2 linked regions of the Drosophila melanogaster genome follow. The protein of the gene in region 1 interacts with the protein of each later gene in a pairwise test. Each region holds a gene or a part of one and is shown on either strand. Other genes may lie near its edges.

Evidence for each region. Proteins that work in one complex are often made in the same cells at the same time.
Region 2: the proteins of CG4766 (region 1) and CG11695 interact in a two-hybrid assay, tested with the Drosophila melanogaster proteins (2 studies listed by BioGRID).

Annotation. Positions count from the first base shown.
Region 1 is NC_004354.4:5,995,706-6,003,547, forward strand, and holds CG4766 (uncharacterized protein), read right to left. Parts: upstream 5,093-7,842; 5' UTR 4,492-5,092; coding exon 4,289-4,491; intron 3,796-4,288; coding exon 3,242-3,795; intron 3,118-3,241; coding exon 2,768-3,117; 3' UTR 1,803-2,767; downstream 1-1,802.
Region 2 is NC_004354.4:11,575,270-11,580,437, reverse strand, and holds CG11695 (uncharacterized protein), read right to left. Parts: upstream 3,556-5,168; 5' UTR 3,486-3,555; coding exon 3,360-3,485; intron 3,294-3,359; coding exon 2,620-3,293; coding exon of another isoform or gene 2,595-2,619; exon of another isoform or gene 2,562-2,594; coding exon 2,364-2,561; intron 2,306-2,363; coding exon 1,669-2,305; 3' UTR 1,632-1,668; downstream 1-1,631. Other genes in the region: e(y)2 (enhancer of yellow 2), read left to right, coding at 3,960-4,265; CG11696 (uncharacterized protein), read right to left, coding at 4,399-4,740, 4,800-5,168.

The sequences.
Region 1 (7,842 bases):
AAAGGATAATGGATGATGGGGTTGGGCGAAGGAGCAGGATAGCAGAAAACCGCCCGCGGTCACTTAGAGCCCTAATTTAAATATCATTAGTGAACAATTAAAACAAAGAAATGCCATTCGAAGCCATGCGACAAAGCCAGAAAACGCAACCCAGAGCCCAGAAAACAGAAGCCCGAAATGCCAGGACAATGCGACGCCATCGCAATAGCAAGTCGCCTGTCACCGCCCACGAGTCGCCTGGGGGCGTGGCAGGTCTCGACGGAAGGATACGGAGTCAGGAGCTACGAAAACTGGAGGGCGGGTGCGCATAAATGTCAACGAGAAAAACAAAAAGGAAAAAAACTGACGAGCATTGACTCGCAAGATTCGAACATTAGATATCCTGTTTGGAAAAAATAAATGAAGTGAAATAAAACTATTTCCATTCAATTATTTAAATCAAATTCTATTGTAATTTTAAAATTTTCATCCATGTAAGGGACATAGTCACACTCACAAAGTTTTCACAATTTTGATAGATTTATAAGCATGCTCAAAAATTCCCAGGGTATCTGTGTACAAACCAAAATCCAGCGGCGAAAAGCGACAATATTTTGTTGTGGCTTCGCCAAAGTTGTGACAGCCGATCAAATGAGAAGGCTGCCCGGGATCAGGATGATTTTGGGACTTGGCCATGTGAATGGGCAGGTGCTGCGTCATGGTTCCTGGTACTTCGAACTGAGCTCTAACTGTTGGCCCCCATTAAATGGCCTCTCGAATACCATTTGTCAACGGGGCAATGGGAATCGTGCCTTATCGATGCGAAGCAACTGGCACATGGTTCTGGTCGCATCTCCACCCACAAAGTGAATGAAAATTAAGGAAAACAGGCAGTCACGTGTCCTCCCGCTGGCGGCCAAGTGCGCATCCTGCGGAGGATTCGCCTGCGGACTCGGATACCGATTCGGTCACCTGATGATGCTTTTCCCAGGACCAAGAACAGGACCACAGCCAAAGCTAGAGCCACAGCCAAAGCCACCCAGTCGAGGGTTAGTGGCACAGGGGTTACTGCTGGTGATGGAGGGCTGCGTAACATGATCCCTGCGTGCCTTGGCATAATTTGTTATTTTGGCCCACGCATTATTATATCCTTGGCATATCCTTGGACTCGAATCGCTCCGACCAACTGGCTCTTTGTGCTGACGCTGATTATATCCCGTGCTCTCCGTTTAGAGACACCTTTTGTCGACGCGTCCATCGAGGAAAATATCGATTACATTCGCTGAAAGTTTTCGTTCCGCAAAAAATCCAAAAAAAAAGAAAGAAAGAAAAAAAAAAACGAAAAATAATAAAGTAAAGCGAAGGGACAAAAGAACCGCAGAACAAAGCAGGCAAACCACTCGGTTTTCGTGGATCCAGCCCCCGCCAGAAAATAACCATAAATAAGGGTAATAAAAGTGATGCTCAGTTGTCGCTGCAGCAGCTGCATCTTCCCAGCCTCAGATCCCAAGACGATTCCGATCCACATCCAGATCCAGATATGTCGTCGTTTGCAAATAAATATTCGCCACTGCCAATAATCATAACATTAACTCAACCGCCGATCGAACTAATGAGATCCCAGCACATCCTTTCCAGATTTGTCCTTTTTTTGTGGTACATCTTCCGTTTGTCAGCCTCATTTAAATATATGAATATCAGTTAAGAACATCCATTTTTTAACTCTCCATGTTCTTTCAGCAAGTGTTGTGTAAGTATTTGCTAAGCAATCAAGTGATTTAAAATACAATCCCTATTGATAGGAAAACAATACCTGGAGTGTTGCCTTTGGCTATCCTTGAATTTATTCAAGCATTTTTTACATTAGCAATCTAGGATTATGTTGTACTTAAAACAAACTGCGGATAATCGTGGTAAATGTTAGGCATCGCATAATAGACATCGACATACATAAATATGTGTATATGTATATGTAAGTAGTAAAACAATGTTAAGTTGGACTTGGAACGATCAATGGAATCTGTATCTCCCTCTGTTCTAGCGCTATATGTATATATTATATATTTTTTGTATGTTCGTTTTGCTTTGATCTAGGATCTGCGAACTGTGAAACAATCGTATACGTCGAGTGTGTATAGCCACCGTGTAAAAGGAGCCGCCTGGACAAATGCTCTTTTTTCATTCTCTCGATTTTTCGATTTTTCCATCCGGACTTGCGAACCGGCGAGTCCATTGTTCGCCGGCCAAACAAAGGATGTGTCGTGAGCGTCGAGGGGCGAGTTATTAAAAACAATATTCGAGGCTTAGCCGGATCGCTTGGATGGGCAGATATATATCTCGAATCGCATCGAGTCGAGTTGAGTCGAGTCGAGTCGAGTCGAATGGGGAGTGGACTTATCTCGCATCTTCGCATTAACACTTTCGCACACACACACACACACACGCGCACGCACGCAGACAGTCACATATACACAGACATGGCACAAAATGGCCGCCAAGGAGCTGTGCTTATGCGTATGTATTTATTCGCATATGTACCTTTCATCTCCGACTTGCCTGGCACCTCATACACATCAGCACTCCCCCGACTTCGGATGGGTCGATATTTGCGTGACTGCAAGAAGAAGTTAGTCAAATCAACAATATGTGAATGGAGCAAAAGAATCTAATCTAACGGGTAAAAAAATAAGAACAATATTCACTCTATGAGTGCGGTTAATAATTATAAATTCCTGCCAAAAATGTCATCGCCATTATCGACCAGTCGTGACCTTTAACCTCTGACACCTTACAACTTCTCAAAGGCGTTGGCATTTGTGAGGAGCTCGCGGGTCAAGCGCCACACCTGCTTGGCCGCCTGCTCCAAAGCACTGGGGGATTTACCCTTGAACATGTCCAGTGCGGGAAGGAAGTAGTGGGGACAACGGCGATACTGCAGACAGGATATCAGCTGCAGGAATATCCCATTGATGCGGTCAGCGATGCAGCCCTCGTCCCACTCAAAGTCCCGCGGATGCTTCTCGCACTCGTAGAGCAGCAGGTTCTTCAGGTGATACGCACTGATGGGATTGCCTGGTAAATCCAGATGCCTGTCCCTCAGGGTCTTCAGCATGCTCAGACAACGTCGACGACAGCCACCTGAAAGGAATTCAATATGAGATTTAAATACACCAGATTTCAAATTCCCAAACTATACTAAAAGTTGCTAGTAAATTGTGTGATCTTTTCTGTAAGTGTAAAGGTGTATCCATAAGATGTTTACCTTGCAGCAGACGGTTTTCGGCCTCGAAGAAGCTGAGCACCCAGGCATCGCCCTCCATGCTGGCGGCATTGTTGTTCTTGTTCTGCATGATGACGCTCTCCTTGGACAGAAGATCGAAGCCCTCGGTCTTGACCTCCGCCACGATGTTGGGATGTGGCCACGGGAGATGTGGTACCGGCCAGTGGGCCGCCGATCTTGGCCAGATGCCTGAGCACTTAAATGCCGGCGTAATCTGGACCACGAATCGCTCCCGAATGCGCAACTTCACCTCGCTGGTGTCGCCCACCATTTTGACCATGTCGCGGTAGACACTTTTATCGCACGCCTGGGCCACCAGAGTCTGGAAACGGGCACGGATCTTCCGGGAGGACAAATAACCACTGGCCGTTATGAACTCCACCCACAGGGACATGGACCGCTTCCTTCCATCGCTCAGCTTCAGAACAGCACATCCCGGCAAGGTGCCATCGTCCACGAAATTGAAGACACCCATTTGATTCAGATACAGCACTATCTCGAATTCATTCGGGGATATCACTTCAACGCCCTCGAATCTGTAAAAGTGATGTTAACTATTTCGATGAAACCGCTTACTTACAATACTATATATATATTTTTAAATCTATATATTAATCTGATAGTTTATCGTGTTGAAATGAGTATAATAGGGGGCGACTGCTACTCCGTTTCTGGTGGCGAGACCTCGATGAGCATGACTTGTCAGTTAACTGACAATGACTCTGCACTTTGGTTGTAATGATCGCAATGGAGTGAAGAGGATCGGATTTGATTGCAATGGTGTGGAACTACTGGAGTGAGAAGTAGCCGCGATGACAGTCATCAGGGCACTGGAATTACCCAGATATCTTGTTGATGGCTCTGTGGTTGGGAACACTAGACATCTCTGATCGGATGAGCAGCTCTCGTTTTTATTAGCTAACTTATGCATCGGCTTAACATTAGGTAATATAGTTATTAATATATGGTTATTAAGAAACTAAAGAAAAGATACTGAGATACTAATGAAAAGATACTGAAAAAGTTTACCTGCCATTGCACTCGACGAGGCTGGAGATGAATCGCGGCTCCTGCAGTTCCACCTCTTTGAGGATGTCCTGGACGATCTTGCAGATCTCCCGGATGGCGGTGGCCGTCTTGTACATCCTGGCCTGAACCCTCTCCGTGCAGAATCGATTCATCTGATAGACCATGCGCGTCTGGGCGGCCATCATGTCCGGCGGCACCAGCATGGTACTCAGTTCGAGTTCCACCAAGCTCCAAAAGTACCAAAAGTACAACGATCTATCTGTAGATGTATCTTTTTACCGGCGACACTTGGTCTGGCGGCCAACTTAAAAGCCAGCCAATTATGCGAAATTCGGCAGCGGGTCTCCTTCTGGACGGGACAGAACAAAGGAACAATTCAATTGTGAGTTACGGTGACAGCAGAACCAACAATGGGCACAAGTGGAGCACGACGACGACGATGACCGCGGTGTACCGAGTATGTATATGGGTATTTTAGCTTTTGGCTCTTCAATTTTAGTAGCTGCTGCCCGCAGATACAGTATCTGCATTGGCGAATTGCTGACCGAATGATGCGCTGCGCTCAATAGCGATACCCCCAGCCTGATGCCGCTGCCGATGCCGATGCCGATTCCGAGTACGAATCGAAGTCAGCCAAACGATACTGATACCGATACCGAAGTCGCGGCTGGCTGGCGTTGTAAATCTCGCGGATATTTACAGCTTCGGGCAGATAAAAAAAAAAGCGCTGAAAGTGCAGTTTGGCCCGGCTGCAGCGAAGTATCTCAATATCCATGCCAGTATCTAACAAATCCGCCATCTCGGTGGCAGTGGCATGAATGGGACTCACAGGCTCAGATACACACAGCTGCACACACAAAGATACAGATACATGTCGGTGCTGTCACGTGACAGGGGTCTCTGTCTCGTGCCACGCATTCCGACGCTTAAAAAATCGATGAGATACTCGCCACAGGCCCCGCGTATCTGTCGTATCTGCCAGATGCACTTTGACAAAAATCTAGGCACTTTAAACGTTATAGATACAATTCTAATAGTAACTCTTTCTTAGTTGTTGTAGCAAAGAGCCACTTCTTCTTATCACAAATGTTATATTTTTCAAAGAAGAAATAGTTCGGTTATTTGATTTAATATAATTCCCTACTTAAGGTTCTGACTAAAATTACTAGTTAACATTAAAATAAAAAACACAAACAGAACTTCATTTTTCTGCGTGTACTAAAAACAAATACGCTCTCTGTCTGTCTCTCTGGCCTGCATGCGTATGGGTGTATCTATGGGGTTGCCTGCTTGTGTATCTGTGAGAGCGGCGCGTTGCCATTGGCCCGTCGAGGCCACGCCCCATTTGGCGGCCGTTACGCTGCGGCGCCCTCTTTGAAGTCTTGCGAGCCGCGGTGTGTGTATCTGTGTGTAAATTTAATTTGTTAAATACATTTCGGCCTGCCATCGCGTACAAGTTGTGTGCAATAATTTATCTGAAATGTGCACTCATTTAGCAAAGAGCAGCGAGCAACGAGCAACCCTCGTCCATGTCCCACGTTTGCCGGCCGATATCTTTATATCTCGCATCTCGCGGATACACAGATACATTTACACTCATAAATATGTCGCGTGGATTAATGTGCCAGTTGGCAATTTCTGACAGCGCTCTCAGTTCCAAGCGAGCAACTTCCTCCGTTCTCGGTTACCGCCTTTCCCCCTCTCCGTACGTCTTATATACCATATAATAATATGTACATCGTGTATACATACATATATGTAGTGTACTTGATGGACATGTGGCAAGATCAAAGCGCCCGTCGCCTCCTCCAATTAGACAAATCCCAAACGCAGCCACTAATTCGAGTGGAGGCAAAACACAAACCGAACACAATTGCCGACGACCAGCAGAATTTTCGCAGAAGGAAGCGGAAAAAAGGGGTCAAGCATCCCATGGTGACGGAAGTATCTAAAGACGTATCTGCAAGGTATGGATACAAAATGTTTAAGATACATACATATATGGAAAGAGATGCAGTGAACTAAAAGTTTTAAAAAACGTATAAGTTAGGAAATATATACAGCGAAATACTTAAAAAAAACTATATATCGAATATGATCAATTAGATGGCCCTTTAAACTAATTTTGGCCACTTAACGAAGGCCCACTGTATCTTTTGTTGGCTGTTAGGTCTTTTGTTCGGCTTTATTGACATCAATCAGTGGCAGTTTGAGCAGATCTAGCCATATCTAAATAGTATTCAGCCCATTCCAATTTGTTGGGGCCGTGAATCGTTGCTGTCAGCCGAATTTTAATGGAGCCCCAATGAATGGGATACGATTGGATGGGATACCATTTTAGAGAGAACGACGATGCCAGGTGCTCCTCACCACTCCATGGCATTTGGCTGATTTTTGGCGCGCTGGATTTCCACGTAACCAGATAGATGGAGGTGGCACTGGAACTCCTATCTAGATGCGCGCATATCTGCATAAATTTCAACAAACAGAGGAAACTAAAAAAAAGGCCACAACAAGGAGAACTACACAGTTTTTTTATTTTTTTTTCCAGTTTTTCGGTTTTCAGACCCAGGATCGTGGGTCTCGGGGTCGCCGACCATTCATGTGACTTCATGTGGCATGTGTGTGTTTTTCCCGTATTTTATATATCTCTTAGATCTCAAAGAAATTTGAATATAATTTATGTGCAATCGTCGCTTTTTTTTTTCGGTTGGTTACTGACCGCCCGTTCTAGAGGTCCGGTTCGGTTCTGTTCGGTTCAGTTCAGTTCTCGTTCCCCCGAAATGAAGAACGATCCATCCATCTAAACGTTTGTCACTTGCTCCGTTGTCGCCGCCACGTTTGTCTTCTTGCTGCTCCGCCAGCTCTGCTCCTTCGTCGCCGCGTCATCGTCTCTTTTGTCTTAGTGCCCCTGTCCCATCCTATACCATCCCGATCCGATCCCATTCGATCCGATCGGATCCCATCGGACTCCGTTACGATTCTAGTCCCTTCACTAACCATTCAGCGCAGTTTATTCCTCCGGCACATAGACATAATCAGGCTGTTCAGCTGAGCTGGGACCTCCAATTCTGGGAAATAGCGAGCCGATTAAAAAGATCATGTATCTAGATCTGAGAAAGTTATGGTGTAATCAGGCAAGCAAAGCAAAAAAGTATCTATCGCATGTGCATATACAAAGTTAAAAGTTTTCTAAGCTTTATGTAACTATCTTTACTTTGTAGTTTATAGACCTTAGTTTTAGACTTAGACTCTAGACTTTATTGACATTTCCAGGCTTCATGATTTCTCACATAACTCATAGATACTATGGCTTTTACTCAGATACCAAGTAAACAGCTGGTGAATTGATACTCGAGTGTTTCTGATATTTATACCTCAAAGCACTTTGTAATTCCCAATTTGTTTAAAGGCTTTGGTCATTGGTCGTCGATGACATTCCCATCGCATGTCGACGCAAAGCTGAAACGTGTGATGAATTAATAAGCATCCAATCCACTCCAGACTGCAAGTGGTCCTGCTCCCTCCCGATCCTCCAGCTCCAGCTCCATTCG
Region 2 (5,168 bases), 5.6 Mb from region 1:
TATTTGCAATAGCAGATAAGTCTTTATTTGTCATATGTAATTTAAGTGTCAGTTCTGGTCACCCTGGAAACCAAGGTGGCAGCCCTAAAAGCATCTCGAATTTCCGTTACTTTTAGCGCCAACAAAATGGCGGAAATGTATTTGCAGTTAATTAGTATTGCCATCTCTCTCTAAGCCAGCACCGTTCGCCTTCTCTTTCTTTTCAAGACTCGTATACGAGAGAGATCGCCTCTCTATTGTCATCTCGCTCTAAATCGATCTGTATTATTTGGCAATTGTTAAGTTTCGTATAACATTTCACTAGTTATATGAAATTTACCAATTTATTTTGTATTTTGACTGGTTAAGGCGCGTAAAACGTTACCCATATATGCATATATATTTGCTTAATTTGCAACATTTTACACGTCTTTTAAGACTTCAGTTTGCATTGCGACTTGTACAATGTTGCGTTCCAAGACACATTTTTTTGTCTTGTATTGTATTGTATTGCATATTGTATATTGTATATTGTATATCATTCATTTTGTTTTGTAGCTTGACAAGCGCGTCAACCATGAAAACAATTCGTTTGTGATTTCCAAATAGTCGTACTCATCTCACTGTCCGTAAGACAATTCAACTTAAACATTTTCGACTATGCGGAAATCGTTACTCTTGCTTGATTTTGCTTCGGAGAACGTTTCGAACGATTATCAATGTGATTCGAAACGATCTCTAAAGCTATATGTAACACCAATTTACCCTTTCGATGGCCATCCGAGCTACCTAAACGAAAGAGAAGAGGATGGAATTAGGATTGTCATAGGCGCAACGTGTCGGAAAATCTAATTCAATGGATGCTACACTGGTTGGATTTGGATTTATGTTTTATTTTTTTGGAGAGGATCTCGGAAGTAACGTACTCACTTGCAGCTAGTTGGAGACTGAATGGAAAAGCGAGGGAAAATTGAGCGGGTGTTATTAATAGGTCACCACCATTTTGCTGCCAGAATTCGAGTTCAAGTGTGTATACGTTGCACTGCGCGGAGTACTCACCAGCTCGATGGGAACTGTACCAAGTGGATGGATTCTAAACACCCCGAACTTCTTTTTTGTGTTAAATTTATGCGAGTGCAAGGCAATCGGAGAAAAACAAGAGCAAAATGCCAATTGAATGAGTAATCAGTGTGTATGTATACCAGAAAATAATGAACTCAACTGCAAACGTGTCTTTTCAGTGTCTTTTGGATCAAAGGAAGTGAAGTTTTCAATTTAGAAATAATAGCAACCAAACTAATACCTCTAACTAAAGCTCTTTTTGTTTCGCTTACCTAAACGCTCGACTTATGATATAAAAAGTAGCCCTAGCTTAGTGTGACCAGGCCGCGAATGCCGCAACATCTAGCTGCTCTAGCCCTTGATATTTTCGAGTTTTGGCCACACTAATGACTGCGAAAATACCGAATAAAATATAGTGGGAACTGCATGAATGCGAAAATAGCGGGATTCCAATACCGAATAAAATATAATGGGAACTGCATGAATCCGAAAATAGCGGGATTCCAAATTCGTTCCAATTGCAAAATACACTTTTGAATATTATAAGCTAATAATACCCAAACTTATTTCGAATTAAATGTGTTTTATGTGTCATTCCAATCTAGTTTATTTGGTTTTTAGAATCAATCAGTCATTCATGTCGCCCGCACCCATGACGTGGCTCATATCCTTGCCTCCAGCGGCCAGGACGTCGAGCAGCAGGTCACCTTTGTCCTTGCGCTTGCTGGGCGGCACCTTCTTCTGCTGCTGCAGGGCGGCCACCTGGGCGGCGTGCATCTGGCGGCGGTGCTTGTGCATGTTCCCCGAGTTTTTGAAGGTGCGCTCGCAGAAGGCGCACTCGTACAAATCCTGGCCGGTATGCGTGGCTGTGTGCTCCTCGAGGCTGCGACTGCTCTTGAACTCCTTGGCGCAGTGCGTGCACTTGTGGTATTCCTTCGGATGATGATAGCGTATGTGGGCCGCCAGCTTGGCCCGCGAACCCTTCTCCAGGCCGCACTGCTCGCACTTCCACTGACGCAGCGAGGCGGCATCCAGATGCATGTACATGTGCTTGCGCAAACTGTTCTCGTCGGACAGCCACACCTGGCACTCCTGGCACTGTACCTCGGGCAGCTGGGAGCCCTCGCGATGCACAGTCCGCTTGTGCACTAGCAGGTTCTGTTTCGTCTTGAACTTGGCACCGCACGAGTCGCAGATGAAGGGTACGAAGGCGGGGTCATGGGTGCGTCGCATATGCAGCCGCAGGTCAACGGCGGTGCGAAAGCTGTGGGCGGATAGAGGCAATTCATCAATTCGCTCTTCTACTTGCTGCCTACACTTACGATCTGTCGCAGTGCTTGCACTGCTCATTGCGCTCCTGCTGGTGCACCCTGGAGTGAATGGTGAGAAGGAACTGCTTGGAGAACCGCTTTGAGCACTGATCACACGCGAAGCTTAGGTCGTCCTTGTTGGGATGGAAGCGTAGCATGTGTACATCGTAGCTAATCCGGCTGACCAGTTGCTTGGAGCAGATCTTGCACCTGCACAGTTCATTCATTAGTAGGGGGATTCAATCAATTGCCTGGGCTGGTCAAGTACCTAAAGTAATTCGGATCGTTGTGCATGTGCAGGTGGTCCACGTAGAGGGCACGCTTCTTGTAGCGCCGCTGGCAGCAGACCACATAACCGAGGGACTGGTGATGATTCCGGAAGTGCCGCTTCATCTCGGCGAAATTGGGAAACTGTTCGTCGCCGCCGCAAATGCAGCACTCCAAACGACCGTGCAGAGCGATATAGCTGTCCATTTCGCGGCTATTGCTGCTGCGGCTCTCTGGATCGCCCTCGCCTTCGGCATCCTCATCCTCGTCCGCCTCGGCCTTGTGGGTCTTCGTCCTGGCCTTGGCCTTGACAGCCTGAGTTTTGGGTGCTGTGACTGCCCGGGGTAGACGCATACGGCGTCTAATGGGCGACGGCAGGCGCATTTCTCGTAGCGATGTGGTGCGAATGCTACTGCTTCTGCTGTTGCTGCTGGCATCGCCGTCGATCTCGTTGCACTCTTCGTTGTCGGCGGCCGCGGGACTCACATCGATCTCCGGTTCGCACAGGATCTGCGCCTTAGTGTCCGCATCCTCGTCCTCGGAGAACGGCTCCATCTTCAGTTGCTGCAGGCCCAATTGTTTCTTCATCACCATGGCGCAGAACTGCTCGAAGTCGGCCAACTGCTGCCAGCACTGGGTGCAGAGGCTCTTGGACACCCCATCGTTGGGCAGGAGCTGGTAACAAGGATGCAATCTGGTCATTAACAAATGTTGGTGGTTCAAACGGAATTCACTGCTTACCACCAACTGCAGGTGTTTCTCAATTAGCTCCGCTAGATTGGAGGGCACTGGCTGATCGCCGGAGTCATCCTGGTCAAAGATTGGCACACTGTGCTCAGCATCGTCCAGGCACAGGCGGCATATCATTGCACTACAGCTGTAGGAAAAGCAATTAATTCAATTAATTGCCTCGCAAATTCAGTTTAAGACGTCGCCGAGGTGTTGCCAGACTGCCAGGCTGAATAAACTTCGAGCGACAGAGATGCCAGAGTGGGCGCTTAAAAGCAGCTTAAATTTTAAGTGACCCAGGAAAATGACCGAAAACATACGAATTGTGCATACATTCCAATTTAAACTAAAAATTTTTAAAACTTTACATATATTTGGTAATATATTTTCATTTCTTTAAAGTTGATTAATGTCCGTATCTAAAAACTAGCTACAAAGTAGCCAGACTGTTTGCCATGACCACTGTACCAACATCACAACACAACAAAACAAAAACACAGCTCAAAAAGATAGATGCAGCGAAGAAAAGCAAAAAAACAGACGCTGCGAAATCGACAAGGACTCGAAAAAGGAAACTTGGTAATTTGCAAGACTTAGATACGCGACACAAGGATGAGCACTTCCGGCGCAGTTGATCAGTACACGGTGCTAACCGGCGACCGTTCCAAGATCAAGGATTTGCTCTGCAGCCGCCTTACGGAATGTGGCTGGCGGGACGAGGTGCGTCTGATGTGCCGCAACATCCTGATGGAGAAGGGCACCAACAACAGCTTCACCGTAGAGCAGCTGATCGCCGAGGTAACACCCAAGGCACGCACCCTGGTCCCGGATGCCGTCAAAAAGGAGCTGCTTATGAAGATACGCACCATTCTCACGGAAATTGAGGAGGAACCCGATGAGCCAGAGGACGAATCCTAACTTTAACTCAGCGTCATTGGATTTGTATATTAATAAAGTTTATTTGTACGATTTTATACATAAATCCCGACCAGGGAACGTGTACACAAAGTCGCAGGGACAGACACCAAACACAGACACACAACACACAGATTCAGTCGGGCGTGGGGCACACGGAGCTGTTGCTGCCGAAATCGAAGCCCTCGGTATCGGGTATCTCAATCAGCGACTTGGCAATGCCACCGAGTGGCGGCAGCATGTGCCCGGCTAGATTAGTCGGAGCTGCCGCTGGAGGAGCAGGCTGGTTAGGATGATTGGGATGAGCAAGTGGAGCCGCTGTGGAGGTAATGCTACTGCTGGGCTGCGAGTACTTTCTCACCCAGTCGTTGGGATGCATCTTCTTCTTGTGGTTGTGCATGTTGGCATGAGACTTGAAGGTGCGCGTACAAAACTGGCATTGGTACAGATCGATGCCCGTGTGAGTGGCCATGTGCTCCTGTAATGAAAACGTTCCGGGATTAGCACGATCAGAATCTGATACGCTGGTCAACTCACGGCCAATGCCCGCGGCAGCTTGAACTCCTTGTCGCAGAGACTGCACTTGTGCCGCTTGGCGGAGTGATGGTACCGCATGTGGCTGCTGAGTGCGGCACGGGATGACTTCTCTGCATTGCAGAGCAGGCATCGGTACTTGGTGTCGCCGTCGCGGTCATCGTGGCGTGCCAGATGCTTGCGCAGGCTCCGTTCGTCCCGCAGCCAGCGGCCGCACAGGGTACACTGCACCTCCGCCACCGGCCCGTCCGGATGCAACGCCTTCTTGTGGATGAGAAAGTTGGCCTTGCTCCTGAAGTGTGTACCGCATATGTCGCATATGATGGGCGTAAAGTCTGCCGCATGCATGCGCTTTACATGGGCACTTAGCTC